Linked DNA regions of Macaca mulatta. The protein of the gene in region 1 purifies or fractionates together with the protein of each later gene. This does not show direct contact. Links are inferred from orthologs where the notes say so. Each region holds a gene or a part of one and is shown on either strand. Other genes may lie near its edges.

Region 1 (8,047 bases):
AGTGGGTGTGTACAGGACAGAGGAGTGGGTACCTCTAAGGGAACAGCTATATTCCTATGACAGACTGCGTGCAAGTCAAGACTTAAGCATTGGCACATTTTAAGTATCTAAGAACAACTCCCAAAGGTCAAAGAACTTTCCCCTAAAACTAAAAAGAAACTTACGCCAGGAGCTTCTTGCGGGCCTTGTCTGCCTTCAGCTTGTGGATGTGTTCCATGAGAATACGCTTGTTTTTGAACACATTCCCCTTCACCTTCAGGTATAGGCTGTGATACCTGCAGGGTACACGGAGTGAAGAGATGCTGGTCGGTAATGGATCAGAAGCTGCTTTGTGAGCTGTTCCTCCACCTAAGGTGACTAAGCTTGTAGGTTCCTTCCTTTTCTCCTGTTGCTTCATGAATTACTTCCTAAACCATTACTTTTTTTGTGTGCAGTTCCTAGACAGAACTTGCCTGGCAAATAAACTGTTGGGCTATCCTGATGGCATATGGGGAAAAAAAGAAAGACCAGAATAGAAAAACTTTCTTAGAAAGGCTCCCTACCCGTGGCTGGGCGTAGTAGCTCAGGCCTGTAATCTGAGCACTTTCAGAGGCTGAGATGTGGGTGCGTCACTTGAGGCCAGGAGTTCGAGACCAGTCTGGCCAATGGTGAAACTCCATCTCTACTAAAAATACAAAAATTAGCCAGGTGTGGTGGTGCATGCCTGTAATTCCAGGTACTCGAGAGGGTGAGGCAGGCGAAGTGCTTGAACCTGGAAAGCAGAGGTTGCAGTGAGCCAAGATCATGCCACTGCATTCCATCCTGGGTGACAGAGCGAGAATCTGTCTCCAATAAAAGCTCCCTACCCAAGGCCATTAAGACAGATCTCTGTGGGCTGGGCGCGGTGGCTAATGCCCGTAATCCCAGCACTTTGGGAGGCCGAGGCAGATGGATCACAAGGTCAGGAGATCGAGACCATCCTGGCTAACACAGTGAAACCCCGTCTCTACTAAAAATGAAAAAAAAAAAAAAAAAAAAAAAAATTAGCCACGTGTGGTGGCACATGCCTGTAGTCCCAGCTACTCAGGAGGCTGAGGCAGGAGAATAACTTGAACCCAGGAAGCGGAGGTTGCAGTGAGCTGAGATCGCGCCACTGCACTCCAACCTGGGTGACAGAGCAAGACTCCATCTCAAAACAAAACAAAACAAACAACACACACAAAAAAAAACCACTCTGGAAAATGAACTAGCCATCAAAGCAGCAAATGGGTACTGGGCCCAAGAGGGTGTGCTTACATGTGGCGATCAATCTTCTTAGACTCACGGTATCTTCTAAGCAGCCGGCGCAGAATCCTCATTCTCCTCATCCACGTGACCTTCTCTGGCATTCGGGCATTGGCTGTACCCTTCCGCTTACCTGTGGAGAAGATGAGTTAGGAATGGGCTATTACCCAGGTCCACTGTGTATAGTACACCAAGTTTCAAGTCAGGGTCTTAACTCATCTAATCCTCACAACCTCATTTTAAGTAGCATTACTTCAATCTTCCAGATGATGATTCCCAACTACGTAAGTTCTTTCGTTTACTCAATTTTAAAGGAAGCACAAATACGGCAATAATTCCCCATTTACTTCATACAGAATGTGGGTTTAACAGGCAGTGCACCAAGGTAGCACAGCACGTTTTAAGGAGCTTCCTTCAATCATTCTGACACTAGAAAGCAATTTTAGAGTTAAGATGGACCACATTCTCAAGGACCCAGCAGAATCCTTGGCATAGTGTAGGTAAGGACTTAGTAAATGTGACCTCCTACCAGGGATGCTCTCAATTCCAATACCAGCACCAACTTTCTGATTTGCACACAGGCAGAATACACATCAAATACCAAGGAGTAAGAAACGGGCTCGAGATGAGACAGAGTGCTTAGATCCTGAATATATTTCAGCACAGACGACAGCACCTATCATTTCTTAAGGAGAAGACGACCACACTTACCTATGCCCATGTGCCTGCCCTTCCGGCGGGCCAAGGTATTTTTCCGGCATCGTGCCCGGGAATGGACCGTCACAGGCTTGCGGATGATCAGCCCATCTTTGATCAGCTTTCGGATCTGCTGACCTGGGAAAGCATAATGCACCTGGTCAGTCAACTGGGGCCCAAGCACATCCCAGAATCCAAATAGGCCAGGCCACAGACACTGCTCACATTCTCGGCCCCATGCTCTCAAAAAGGATGGAAACACTGGAACTTGTTTATTTCTTGCCTTCGAAAATCCAAAAAACCTCTATCTTTTCTTTTTCCTTCACAAACAGAAGTTGTGAGAGATACTCTTTGTCTGAGACAGTCTCCCTATGTTGCCCAGGTCGGTGTTGAACTCCTGGGCTCACAATCCTCCTGCCTTAGCTTCCCAAGTAGCTGGGATTACAGATGCCTGCCACTATGGCTGGCCATTTCTACTTTTTTTTTTTTTAATTTTTTTATTTTTTTTTTTGAGACGGAGTCTCGCTCTGTCACCCAGGCTGGAGTGCAGTGGCGCGATCTCGGCTCACTGCAAGCTCCACCTCCTGGGTTTACGCCATTCTCCTGCCTCAGCCTCCTGAGTAGCTGGGACTACAGGCACCCACCACCGCGCCCGGCTAATTTTTTGTATTTTTAGTAGAGACGGGGTTTCACCGTGGTCTCGATCTCCTGACCTTGTGATCCGCCCGCCTCGGCCTCCCAAAGTGCTGGGATTACAGGCGTGAGCCACCGCGCCCGGCCATTTCTACCTTTTACATGTATTACAGCACACTCAAAACAGCAAGCCTGATACAATGACTCCTCCATTTTGTAGATACTCTGAACGTACCTTCCTAGGTTTGTAAAGAGTCAACACAAGCTAGGTATGCTGGCTTATGTTTGTAATCCCAGTACTCTGGGAGGCTGAGGTAGGCGGATCACCTGAGATCAGGAGTTTGAGATCAGCCTGACCAATATGGTGAAACCCCATCTCTACTAAAGATACAAAAATTAGCCGGGTGTGGTGGCACGTGCCTTAGTCCCAGCTACTTGGGAGACTGAGGCAGGAGAATCGCTTGAGCCTGGGAGGCAGAGGTTGCAGTGAGCTGAGATCCTACCACTGCACTCCAGTCCGGGTGACAAAGGGAGACTCCATCTCATAAAAAATAAAATAAAAAATAAAGAGTAAATTAGCCGGGCGTGGTAGTGCACACCTCTAATCCCAGCTACTCAGGAAGCTGAGGCGGGAGAATCACTTGAGCCTGGGAGGACGGGTTGCAACGATGAGATGGCACTACACTCCAGCCTGGGCAACAGAACAAGACTGTCTCAAAAAAAAAAAAAAAAAAAAAAAAAGTCAACACAACTGTGTTCTTATGACGCAGGACAAGAGAAGGAAGTAGGGTGAAGAGACAGATCCCAGGTACTCACGGGAGTTGGCATTGGCGATTTCATTGGTCTCATTGGGGTCTAACCAGACCTTCTTCTTGCCACAGCGGAGGACACTAGAGGCGAGCCTCTTCTGAAGCCTGAGCATACTAGACACACAGAAAACATGATTAGACTCTGAAAGCCACTCGTGGGCAAGAACGAAAGTCCCCATCAAGACCTGCCCTCTGCGACCCACACGACAGCCGCGAAATAAGACTCTTCCCTAAATCATCTTTAAGGCTCTGGGCTGTGCAGCTGGTCCCCTTGGGTTTAGACTTCAAAGCCCACGCTATGCCTTCACCTCTTGGAGCCTCATGTTCGCATTTCTTCTCTGAAAAGTCAAGTTAAGGATTTACTGGAATGAATAGGGGGCTTATGCCATTTCTGGTATTCAGCGTTTGAAAAATATTCGAGGCGAGTAGACCTGATTTCTAGTCTAGCAATGCAGGCAAGTTAATGTTTTCTGGGCTCATTTTCCCGTTTTATCACAGTAACAAGCCTCGTTCGGCCATTTGTAGAGATTTCCTTTATGAATGGCCAAAGGAGTGGAAGGCGTCAAGAGTTAGAGATCACGTCTCTCGGCAGTCGGAGGCCTGGGGCCTACACTAGGCTTGCCCTAGATCACGTGAAAGCACAGATCTGCTCCGCTCCGGGCGTGCCATGCAAGAAAGGGTCCAAGGCTCGGTCCCGTTCGCTACGTTTGCTTTGCTCGCGTGGGTCGACCCGACACATGTGCGGCGCGCCGCCACCCGAGGCAGCCTTTTCCGGGTCTCAGTTGCTGCGACGCTCCCCGCCCCCCCCCCCCACCCCGGAGGCCCGGGACGAGAGTGCTCCGGCCTACCCCAAACCCCGGGACCGGCCGCTTTAGGGCGGCCTCCATTTCATCTCCCCCAACCCCGGCTGCGGTCCCAAGCCCAACAGTCCCCCGCCGAAAAGCGTCAGCGCCTGTGGGAGATCAGCGCGCCCTCACCTCATGGCTGCGGCCGCAGCAGCGAAAGGAAAGAGCTCGCTCGGGACCGGCTCCTCCCATTACCTGAGAAGGGGAGAGCCCAACCCCCTCTCCAATTTCGTCCGTATTCCCGTCCGGTTCTTTCATCTTCCGCCACACCAAACTCACTCATAGCCTCCGTATAGGCCTGAAATGATAAAAGCCTAATATCAGAAATCGGTTTTAAACTTAAAAACATAGAAAATGTACCCCTTCCGTAGGGAAAGTGGTATAGTCCGACTTCCTACTAGACATGCGCAGCAAGGGTACGCGATCACGTGGTTATTTTAACCGGAAGTCAGCTGGATTGCGCAGGCGGAGTGAGAGAGGTTTTGCTAGAGTAGCTTGGTGTTTGCGGGCGTTCGGCCGGTTATGGGTGGATGCTTTATTAGCTGAGAAAAAAAGTCAGTTGAAGAAGCGAGAGAGAATGACAACAGGTATCAGACAAAGGCGACCTCTTATTCACTCTCTTAGTAGATTGAAAACCCCTAGAGTGCAGAATAGATCACTAAAAGATGTTAGTGTTTTTACGCTGCTGCGGGTCTTTAATTTCTTGGTGCCTCAATTTCCTCCTCTGTAAAGTGGACCTAATCCCAATGTTTCTATCATCAGTTGTGGAAATTACGTGAGGTAACATTTGCAATTAGCAAAGGAAGGCATTAAGACAGCAAGCTCTTGGAGGGCGAGAACTAGTCTCGTAGTCTCCTTTGGCTCACAGCTCTACTGCGGTAGGCATGGATCCGCGATCGAACACACCTGAGAAATACTGCACTGGCTGAATGGATGAATGATTGCAGAAAGTAAAATTAAAAAAAAAAAAAAAAAATTGGGCCGGGCTCGCTGGCTCACGCCTGTAATCCCAGCACTTTGGGAGGCCAAGGCGGGTGGATCACTTGAGATCAGGAGTTCGAGACCAGCCTGGCCAACATGGCGAAACCCTGTCGCCACTAAAAATACAAAAATTAGCCGGGCGTAGCGGCGCGTGCTTGTAATTCCAGCTACTGGGGAGGCTGAGGCAGGAGAATCGCTTGAACCCAGGAGGCGGAGGTTGCAGTGAGCCGAGATTGTGCGACTGCACTCCAGCCTGGGCAACAGAGTGAGACTCCGTCTCAAAAAAAAAAAAAAAGGCAGGACCACTCAGTTCTTTTCTTCTGATCTGGAACACCCAATGCAAAAATCCAAGGAGAGCATTCTGGGGTTTAAGAAGTCTACATCTGAATTGAGGCTCCAACTCATCATTGGTTCCCGCTGATCACCCTATCCGTTTCATCTCAACTTTCCTGGCTGAGAAAGTAGAAGAAAGAGAAAGGGAATCAACATTTATGCTACTTCCTCACAACAACACAATTAGCGTTGCCCTCATTTTACAGCTGAGGTAACAGATTGAGAACGCAGGTATTTCTGATTGCAAAGCCCATGCTTTTGCGGTTATGCCAGGCTTTCTCCTCTCCAAGGGTCAGGTGGAAGCCGTGCTCAGGATTGGAGCTCTCCTGGAATGTTTCTAATGGGCTTTATCTTCACTCACTGCTCCTCCTTCCCGAAGGTGTTGTGATCAGAGGAATGACAGAGCGGCCATTCATTTGTTATCACAGGTGAGGAGGAGGAGTCCCATAGTCTCCTCTCCTGCAGAACACAGCAAGCTGGTGGCCTTATTTTAAGGTCACTTGACCTGGAGAGGGTCTTCTCCACCTCTCCTTTCTGTGGAGCGGGGGTGGAGTAGGGAGGGAATGGCTGACTCCTTCATTGAAACTTACAGCTTCTCCAAACACCCTAGCAATTCATTTAATTCCCTCATCCTCCCAATAATCCCAGGTGACACAGACTCCACAGTGCCAGCAACCACATTTTATAGGAGAGGAGAAAACTGGTGCTTAGAGAGGTGGTTTGTCCAGGGCTATACAACCAGAAACAGCCTGAGCCAAATTGGCACCAGGGTCTATTGCCCAGAATCTCCTATTCCTCCTCTATCCACCTGTCTTGGTGGGTGGAGTCCAGACCTTGGATGTTTGTCCCTAAATCAGGGGTAAAGGTGGAGCAATTCTAGGTCAAAGGTCATGAGATCTGATTTTACCAGCCTCTTCTTTCTCGGCTCCATATTGCTTCCTCTTTTCTCATCCAACAGCAGGGACTTCGCCCAGCCCCATTCATGGCCTTTTGGAAGAGCGGGTCAGGGGTGGGGGCGTGTATCCTAGTGACCGATTAGGGCAGAACTCCTGGACCCCTGGGATTTCTTTTGCTGTCGCTGTTGGACACCGTCCCCATCTCAGCCTCAGCCTCCCACCGGCAGCCCCAGAGCCATGTTGGAGGGGTAGAGGCTTTTCTGTTTGGTTTAAGGCAGCCTGGGCCCCGCACTGGGGAGAAAGGAGTTAAAGCCAGGTCCCAGGATCACCGGGACCGGGAAGTTCTGGTGGCCCAAACAGGAGTGGGTTGGGGGGACCCGCAGGAAGATAGGTTTGAGACAAAAGGGGGCGGTGCTAGCCATGCCAGTCCGCGCTTCATCCCCATCAGCGCTCGGCATCCACTGGTAGACCGACCCCCGACCCCTTCCCCAAGTATCCACGCCTAGTTTCTCCCTTCCCGCCCCAGCGGGCCGCCTGCACCCCACAGCCAGTCAGAGGCCCACCTGCGGCCCTCTAGAGCCGAGAGGCGCTTGCCTCCCAGCTTGCCGCACGCCCATTGTGTGCGCCGAGCCGGAGGAGGGGCTGCGAGGGGCGGGGCCGGGGCGGGCGGAGGGAGGGAGCGAGGGAGGGGCGCGGGGAGATGCTGAGCCTGCTGGGGAGGCGGCGGCGGCAGTGGAGAGAGCGGGAGGAGCGAGGGAAGGCAGGAAGGAGGCAGCCGAAGGCCGAGCTGGGTGGCTGGACCGGGTGCTGGCTGTGCCGCGCTGCTTTCGGCTCCCACGGCCTCTCCCATGCGCTGAGGGCGCCCGGCTGGGCCGGGCCGGCGGCGGGAGGGGAGGCTCCTCTCCATGGTCCAGAAGACCGGCATGTCCCGGGGCCCTTACCCACCCTCCCAGGAGATCCCCATGGAGGTCTTCGACCCCAGCCCGCAGGTGAGGCGTGGTGGCCCGGCCCGAGAGGAGGGGGCCGCTCCCACGGACAGTGTTGAGGTCGGCTCGAAAGGCGCGGGAGAGGAAGGGGTTATATGCCGGGCGCGAAGGGGAGAGGGATGCCTGCGCGTCCCCGATCCTTGCAGGTTGTGATTGATGGGCTCTGGGCCTGGGGCTGGGTGGCGATGCTGCGGAGCGGGGAGGGGGCGGGTGGGCTGCCTGTCACCCTCGCCTCCTTGTCTCCCCCGCGTCAAGGTTTCTGCCGCTTGGGCACCAGCTTCAGTGGGCTGAGCGTAGGGGTGCTGGTGGTGGTGGGATCTGGGCCTTGAGAAGGGGAGGTTGAAGGAGGCTAGAAAGCGAGCCAGGCAAGGGGGGCGACCCAGAGCACGCTCGGGGGCGCCAGGCGGGTGTGGGTGGGGCGGGGGTGGCACGAGGAGGTGGCCGAGGCGATGGTCAGAGGGCGGTGCCAAATGCAAACAGGCCTTCAGAGCCGCAGACACTGGATCTTGAGGGTGGGGAAAGGGCCAACTCCGGGCGAGGTCCCCTCCCAGCCACCTGGGCTCCATCTCCATGTCGGACCTGCTCCCCTCCCCCAACACCCACGT
Region 2 (7,947 bases), about 23 Mb from region 1:
CGCGGTTGCTGTGCCGCCGGCTACTGTCACCCATGAACTTGCTGTCTCTGCACACGGCTTCGGGGCTGCGCCTCTTCTCTGTGCTAAGCCTGGCCTGGGGCTTCATTGCTGATGTGGACCTAGAGAGTGAGAAGTATCGGCGCCTGGGGGAGATGCGCTTCACTCTGGGCACCTTCCTGCGTCTGGCAGCCCTGCGCACTTACCGTGGCCGACTGGCCTACCTCCCTGTAGGAAGAGCCGGCTCTAAGACACCTGTTTCTCCCGTTGTGGTCCAGCAGGGCCCCGTAGATGCACACCTTGTGCCATTGGAGGAGCCAGTGCCCTCTCACTGGACAGTGGTGCCCGACCAGGATTTCGTGCTGGTGCTAGCGCTGCTGCACTCGCACCTGGGCAGCGAGATGTTTGCGGCACCCATGGGCCGCTGTGCAGCTGGTGTCATGCATCTGTTCTATGTGCGGGCGGGAGTGTCTCGGGCCATGCTGCTGCGCCTCTTCCTGGCCATGGAGAAGGGCAGGCATATGGAATATGAATGCCCTTACTTGGTATACATGCCTGTGGTCGCCTTCCGCTTAGAGCCCGAGGATGGGAGAGGTGTGTTTACAGTGGATGGGGAATTGATGGTTAGCGAGGCTGTGCAGGGCCAGGTGCACCCAAACTACTTCTGGATGGTCAGTGAGTGCGTGGAGCCCCTGCCCAGCTGGAAGCCCCAGCAGACGCCACCTCCAGAAGAGCCCTTATGACCCCTGGGCCACGCTGTGCCTTAGTGTCTACTTGCAGGATCCTTCCTCCTTCCCCAGGGCTGCAGGGCCTGTCCACAGCTCCTGTGGGGTGGAGGAGACTCCTCTGGAGAAGGGTGAGAAGGTGGAAGCTATGCTTTGGGGGGACAGGCCAGAATGAGGTCCTGGGGTCAGGAGCCCAGCTGGCTGGGCCCAGCTGCCTAAGGCCTTCCAATTTGTTCTAGGACCCCCACCCCATGAACCAAATCCAAATAAAGTGACATTCTCAGCCTGCTGGTCCTGTCCTGGTGACTGGGGAGAGAATGGGTTCTTGCTCTGGCCAGGACTATAGAATTTAATGTTAATGATGGCCAATACTGCCCCCTGGGATGGACAATGGATTTTATTGGCCTCAGGCATAGTCACTCTGGTGGGGGACTCAGGCCCAGAGCTGGTTCAGCCTAACGGTGGGGGATGCCTCTACTACCGTGATAATTACAGTACCTCCAGCCTGAAGCAGCCTCAGAGTTCAGCCAGCTGCCTGACCACACACAGGCTGCAGCTCGGACCTGGCATGTCTCAGCTAGGGCCACACAACCAGCTAGTCCCAGAAAATCTCATCAGAGCCCCATGTAGATTTAGCAGGAAAGGGAAAATATCTGAGTTAAGGGCATTAGAAAACCGATGGGCCAGGCACGGTGGCTCACGCCTGTAATCCCAGCACTTTGGGAGGCCGAGGCGTGTGAATCACTTGAGCCCAGGAGTTTGAGACCAGCCTTGGCAACATGGTGAAATCCCGTCTCTACAAAAAATACAAACATTAGCAGGGTGTGGTGATGGGCACCTGTAGTCCAGCTACTTGGGAGGCTGAGGCAGGAGAATCACTTGAGCCCAGAAGGTTAAGGCGGCAGTGAGCTGAGAACACGCCACTGCAATCCAGCCTGGGTGTCAGAGTGAGAATGTCTCAAAAACAAAATAAAAACACTACCCCCGCCACTCCCCAAAATTGGCAAGGTGCAGGAGACTTCAGAAGTAAAAAATGGCAGTATCTTGCCTTTTTTTTTTTTTGCTCACTGCAAAAAAAAAAAAACCCTCCTGGGTTCAAGTGATTCTTGTGCCTCAGCCTCCTGAGTAGCTTGAATTACAGGTGTGCGCCACCATGCCTGGCTAATTTTTGTATTTTTAGTAGAGATGGGGTTTTACCATGTTGGTCAGGCTGGTCTCAAACCCCTGACCTCAAATGATCTGCCTGCCTCTGTCTCCCAAAGTGCTGGGATTACAGTTGTGAGCCACCGCACCCGGTCAGTATCTTACCTTTTTAAAAGGAGTCTGTCATCCCCACCAATGAGGGGTCTAGGGTTCCCCCAGCCTCCCTCAGCCACCTCCCTTCCCCACCTGTCCTCGTGGAGGAGTGCCAGGCAGGAGTGGAAAGACTGCGGCAGGGAAGAATGCATGCAAGTCTCATAAACTGGGTAACCATTTTGGCTTAGGGTCCAGGAGATGTGGCACCTGTCCACCACCAGGTGCTATGACGTCAGCTCTCCCAGAATCTGGAAGGAGCTGAACTGGTCAGTTGTAGGTCTCTGGAGACTACAGCCACTGGAAGGCTGCTCTAAGCTGGCTCTTAAGGAGCACACCACCAGCCAGGAAGAGGCCAGAGGACTGCTCCAGGACAGGAAGTACAAAAGGCATGCAAGCAGATCTGGCAGGCGGAGGGCAGCGTGGGCAGGTGGGGGGTGCTGCTCACAGTGGCCCCCACCTGGCCAGGAAAGCCAGGACCCACTGCCACATGCCTTCCCTGGCAACAAGGTCTTTCCTTCCCCAGGAAGGGTGTGTGTGAGGGACACAAGCACACAGTGCCCCAGAGAGGAAGAAAGGCAACGGAGCCCAGATGAATGGCAGAGGGAGGTTTAATGGTGTCACCTTGTCTTGTTAATGAGCCAACCCAAAAAAAAAAAAAAAAAAAAAAAGCAAGTAAAAAAAAGTTTAATCACACAGCACTTTATACAGATATTGTAAGCAGTAGGCATTCACATCTCCACATGTACAATGCACTGGGAAGCACAGCCCCACCAGTCACTCCGGGTGTTTCTCAAACAAGATACTGACTCGGCTCCAAATGCCATGGTGTGTGTTCCAGCTCCGTCCTCCGGCAGCTCTGCTGGCTGGGCGGTCACAGCACAGCACAGGTGTGGAGCCCACTTAAGGCTGACAAGACGCATCATGCTTTGGCTTTTTTTTGTCTTTTTTTCTAATAAGAGTTAATATCTTTGCTTTTGAGTTTTTTTCCAACCTTAAATATTACATACATACACCAAAAATTACATAGCTGCAATGTGCTCAACAGCATCCTCTTGGCCTGGAGCTTCACATTATCAAAAGCTTAGAAAACTTGTAAACCTCTGGGCCTGTCTCTGGGCACTAGGAGAGCCCCCGCCGGCCGTCCCCTTCTGGATTGAGCCTGCAGTTTGTAAGCGAAGGGCTGACAGTAGGCCTTCTAGTCCAAGAGAGGGCTGGCTCGCTTGGAGTTCAGTGAGCTGCACGCCACGTCCCAGTGTGACCATGTGATAGGGGAGGGGCCCTAGCACTTGCCCTGGCCTTGTGCAGCTGCTCTTGCCCCCAGCAGCCTCCAACAGAAGAGCAAGGCACCTACAGCTGTTGCTTTCCCCACAGCTCCCTGGTCCTCACTCCATGTGCATGTGTGAAGGCCACCACCTCTCCTGGGCGTCACCCTGAACCTAGCCTGGTCCCAACCTCTCTTAGAGAGCAAGTTCAACAGACCTGAGGGTTATAATGTGGTCGACAGGCCATGTATAGCCAGGAGTCAGTGACAGCAGCTACAACTCCCAAGGTATAGTGTTGACGCTGGGGGACTAGGGAGGACCTGGTGGCGGTGGCAGCAGGAGGGTCTAGGACACACGGAGGCTCAAGTTGAACTTAAGAGGTTGAAAGGGACCAGGGGAATTGTTGGCGCAACCCACACTTCATGCAAGGCACATGTGCTCTCCTGCGGGTCTGCAGGGCACCGGCCCAGAGAGCCCCGCGGCAGGCCCTGGAACACCCACCTCTGACCTGAGAAGGGACAGCAAGGGAGCAAGTGCCGGGACATTCTGCTGGGGTGACAAATGGAAAATCGGCAATAGGGTTCCGATTTTCTTTGCCACGGGGGACCCACCTGTTGAAAGCTCGCTTCAGAATAGAAACGGCGGCATCTCAACACACTTCTTGCACTTCAGCATCAAACTCACCTTGGGGAGAAGAGGGCAATGAGGGGTTTGCAGTGGGGACAGAGGGGCATGGGAAGAGGGGCGATTCCGGCGGGGAGTGAGCAAGCGGCGGCTGGCCTCTCCCACGGTGATGCTCGTTCCTCCGCACCTGGCAGCTACTTGTCCTCTGTGCACTCCGGCATGCCTGCCTCTAGCAGCGCAGCCCGGAACTGCGTCAGGACACCCCGGATGCTCTTGATGAAACCCTTGGAAAGTGGGAAGAGGGGGAAGCCGATGTCAGGGTAGCCACTCTTCTCAGGTAAGAAGCTCCGGTAGCTCTTTCTCCGCTTCTTTGGTTTGACACTGGGTGGCACTGATGCGTCTGGTGCGGTCTCCGAAGTCTGGTCTGTGTGGTCCCTGCTAGCTGAGGCCAGGCCCTGGGCACCGCCCTCTGAGTCTGAACCCTGGGAGACCTCTCCTGGGGCTGGCCCTCCATCCTCAGGTTCTTGTTGGCCGGAGTCTGAGAGCTCGGCTACAGCTGGGGGCTCTGGTGAGCTGCTGGCTTTGGGGACCCCGTTGGGCAGCGCCTGGGCCTTCTCCAGCAGGGCATGGGTTTCCAGCCAGGACTCGATGCGGTTCACCAGCCGCCAGCCACCAGTGCTAAAGTGTTGCCTGATCTCCTGCTCAAAGACCTCGGGGGGCCGCCGCACCAGCTGGGTCATGGATTGCACCACGCGGATCAGCGCCATCTCATTGTAGCAGCGACTGTTCTCATAGCCTTCCTGCAGGCCCCGGTCACTGTCGAAGCCAGCTTCGTTGTAGTATGGTTCATTTACCAGGATGAGACCTGTGGGGGAGGGACAGCTTCCCTCAGTGGGCGAGAGAAGCCCACCATGCAGGCCTACCCTCCACCTGCCAGGGGACCATCAGAGTCACTTCCCTCCACTGGTCCTCCCTTGTCCGCACCCCCGCTTCAGCCCAACTGTACCTTGGATGGAGATGAGCACCTGGAGAAGGCTGGACTTGCTCGTCCACCTCTCTGTCCCCTGAAACACACAGGGCACCATCAATTCTGTTCCCCAGGCCCCTATCCCCCACTGGCTCTTCCTCCTTCTTGGCTGGGGGCCTGGCACTATACTCACCTTTCCAATCCAGGTGCCCAGGAGGCTGACGCACACCTTCCCATTGTCATACAGGTTGGGGTTCAGGCGGCCACTGCATTGGGAGAGGTAGCAGAAGTGGGGGGGCACGGCTGGGTAGATGTTGGGGAGCTGGATGTCAAACAAGTAGAGGCCATCTTCGTAGGGGGTTCGAGTGGGGCCCTTGATGAGGGCTGAGAAGAGGTCCTAGGTAGGGAGGGAGGGAGGCCAAGGTTGGCAGGGGTGGAAAGGGGTGTCCTACATGTGGCATCCGCATCTGCACCTGCTCTTTCCCAGGACACTGTGCAGATCACGCAGGATGAGCAGCACCTGGGACTCCAGACGCCACCAGCAGTGGAGAAGCTAAGCACAAATCTCTCTGCAGAACAGCCTGGAATCTTTTTTTTTTTTTTTTTTTTTTTTTTGAGACAGGGTCTTGCTCTATCCCCCAGGCTGGAGTACACTAGTGCGATAATAGCTCACTGCAGCCTCCCAAGTAGCTGGGACTACAGTGTGGGCCACCACGCCCAGCTGACTTTTTTATTTTGTGTAGAGACAGGGTCTCACTATGTTGCCTAGGTTAGTCTCAAACTCCTGGGCTCAAGTGATCCACCTGCCTTGGCCTCCCAAAGTGCTGGGGTTTACAGCCCCGAGCAGTCACGTGCCCGGCTCTTGCCTGGAGTCTTTGAACCTTGGCTAAGAGAAATACTCGAAATGAGTTTTTATCTTATCAGGTGTTTTTCCTCATGAATCATTACTTTAAGACTGTATTCCAGCTGGGTGCAGTGGCTCGTGCCTGTAATCCCAGAATTTTGGGAGGCCGAGACGGGCGGATCTCGAGGTCAGGAGTTCGAGAGCAGTCTGGCCAACATGGTGAAACCCTGTCTCTACTAAAAATACAAAAATTAGCCAGGCGTGGTGGCACGTGCCTGCAGTCCCAGCTCCTCGGGAGGCTGAGGTGGGAGAATTGCTTCAACCCGGAGGTGGAGGTTGCAGTGAGCCGAGATCGCGCCATTGTACTCTAGCCTGGGTGACAGTGAGACTCCATCTCAAAAAAAAAAAAAAAAAAAAAAAAAAAGATTGTATTCCTCAGTCAGATATGGTGGCTCACACCTGTAATCCCAGCACTTTTGGGAGGCCAAGGTGGGAGGACTGCTTGAGGTCAGGAGTTCAAGACTAACCTAGGCAATATAGTGAGACCCTATCTCTACAAAAAATAAAAAATTAGCTGGGCATGGTGGTGCATACCTGTAGTCCCAGCTACTCAAGAAGCTTGGATGGGAGGATCACTTGAGTCCAGAAGGTTGAGGCTGCAGTGAGCTATGATCACACCACTGCACTCCAGCCTGGGCAACAGAGCGAGACCCTATCTTTTATTTTTTTGTTTATATATTTTTTTGAGATATAGAGTGTAGCTGTCACCCAGGCTGGAGTGCAATGGCGAGATCTTGGCTCACTTCAACCTCCACCTCCCAGGTTCAAGCGATTCTCTGCCTCAGCCTCCCGGGTATCTGGGATTACAGGCGCCTGCCACCACGCCTGGCTAATTTTTTGTATTTTAATAGAGATGGGGTTTCACCATGTTGGTCAGGCTGGTCTCGAACTCCTGACCTCGTGATCCGCCCGCCTCGGCCTCCCAAAGTGCTGGGATTACAGGTGTGAGCCACCGCATCCGGCCAACCCTGTCTTTTAAAAACGAAACAAAACAACTCCTCTAAACACCTGCTCCAACCCTTATCTCCAACAAGGCAAGTAGTACAAGCAGTTTCAAGCTGAAAGACAGTTCCAGGCTGGTGAGGCCTGGGGAAGGGGGATGGTCTCACAACCAGAAGCTGACAGTGAGGGTCTGAACTGCAAGGGAGGCTTTGGGAGACCACCGCTCCACAGACATCTGGAATCTGTGCATCTAGTTGCGTGCATGTGTGTGCATACGTGTGTGTGTGTGGGATCTCAACTGCCAGGGAAATGGGCGATGTCAGTGATGAGCTGAGAAGCAGGGAGGGCAGAGCGCCAGCTGGGGTGAGGGAATCTCTGCGCATGCTCTTACTGGTGCCACCCTGGGAGCCTTCAGAGAATGCACTACTTTTCTTCTCCTGAGTGAGATGTGGGGAAAACAGAACAAAATAAAAAATACTGTTCCTGTCTTCCCTCAGCAGAGCTGAGACAGAATAGGATTTTCAAAAGGAATTTTACTACAACCCAAGAATAAACCAAAAGCGTTATTAAGAATCTCCAGCAGCACTGGGACTTAGGGCTCTGCCTAGCCCTGTTCCAGGGTTGTGGCTACTCCGGGCCCACCTCAACAGTGCCTCGCTTGGCTGCTCTCAGGATCCCTGCTCTTTCTTTTCTTTACTCCCTTCCAGGACAGGGCCAGAACTGGGGCCTCAGGCTCATATTCAGAGTCTAGCATGGTGCCTGGCTCGCTGCACAGGCCCAGTAAGGGAATGTTGAGTAAACAAGGTGGCAGGCAAACGGGCCTGCCTGTTCCTGGAGGAGGCACTCACCGCTGCCTCAGTAAACATGACTCAGAGACACTAGGCCCCGGCCATGAACAGAGGAGTGGGAAAATGGAATGTGGTGTGGCCACATGCTGTTGTCCTATTTTGCAGGTAAAAAGGAAGAAACTAGATCATATGAATCAACACGGGTTGGTCTTAAGCAAATTAGAGATGATGTGTACAATGACATACTCTGTGTGTAAACAAATCATACAAAATACCATGTACTTATGGTGACATATGAGAATGTGAAAATATGAGAGTGTATAAAAAATGTAAAAATATAAAAAAAGGTCATCCGTTTGGAAGGAGACCCACTAAACTTCTAAAAATCCTCTGGGTGTGGGAAGAGGCCTATGATTCGGGGAGAAACAGAAGTGAGGGCTGG

What was found.
Region 2: the proteins of RPL19 (region 1) and UBE2O purify together in Homo sapiens (affinity purification with mass spectrometry; 3 studies listed by BioGRID and IntAct, with this or other methods). This does not show direct contact. The link is inferred for Macaca mulatta from reciprocal best matches to the Homo sapiens genes RPL19 and UBE2O.

What each region holds. Positions count from the first base shown.
Region 1 is NC_133421.1:63,527,623-63,535,669, reverse strand, and holds the start of RPL19 (large ribosomal subunit protein eL19), read right to left. Parts: upstream 4,415-8,047; 5' UTR 4,384-4,414; coding exon 4,379-4,383; exon of another isoform or gene 4,250-4,378; intron 3,516-4,249; coding exon 3,409-3,515; intron 2,098-3,408; coding exon 1,975-2,097; intron 1,397-1,974; coding exon 1,276-1,396; intron 276-1,275; coding exon 165-275; intron 1-164. Other genes in the region: CACNB1 (voltage-dependent L-type calcium channel subunit beta-1), read left to right, coding at 7,362-7,445.
Region 2 is NC_133421.1:86,136,585-86,144,531, forward strand, and holds the end of UBE2O ((E3-independent) E2 ubiquitin-conjugating enzyme), read right to left. Parts: intron 5,269-7,947; coding exon 5,065-5,268; intron 4,969-5,064; coding exon 4,911-4,968; intron 4,770-4,910; coding exon 4,099-4,769; 3' UTR 2,609-4,098; downstream 1-2,608. Other genes in the region: SPHK1 (sphingosine kinase 1), read left to right, coding at 1-740. UniProt on the Homo sapiens protein: E2/E3 hybrid ubiquitin-protein ligase that displays both E2 and E3 ligase activities and mediates monoubiquitination of target proteins. Negatively regulates TRAF6-mediated NF-kappa-B activation independently of its E2 activity.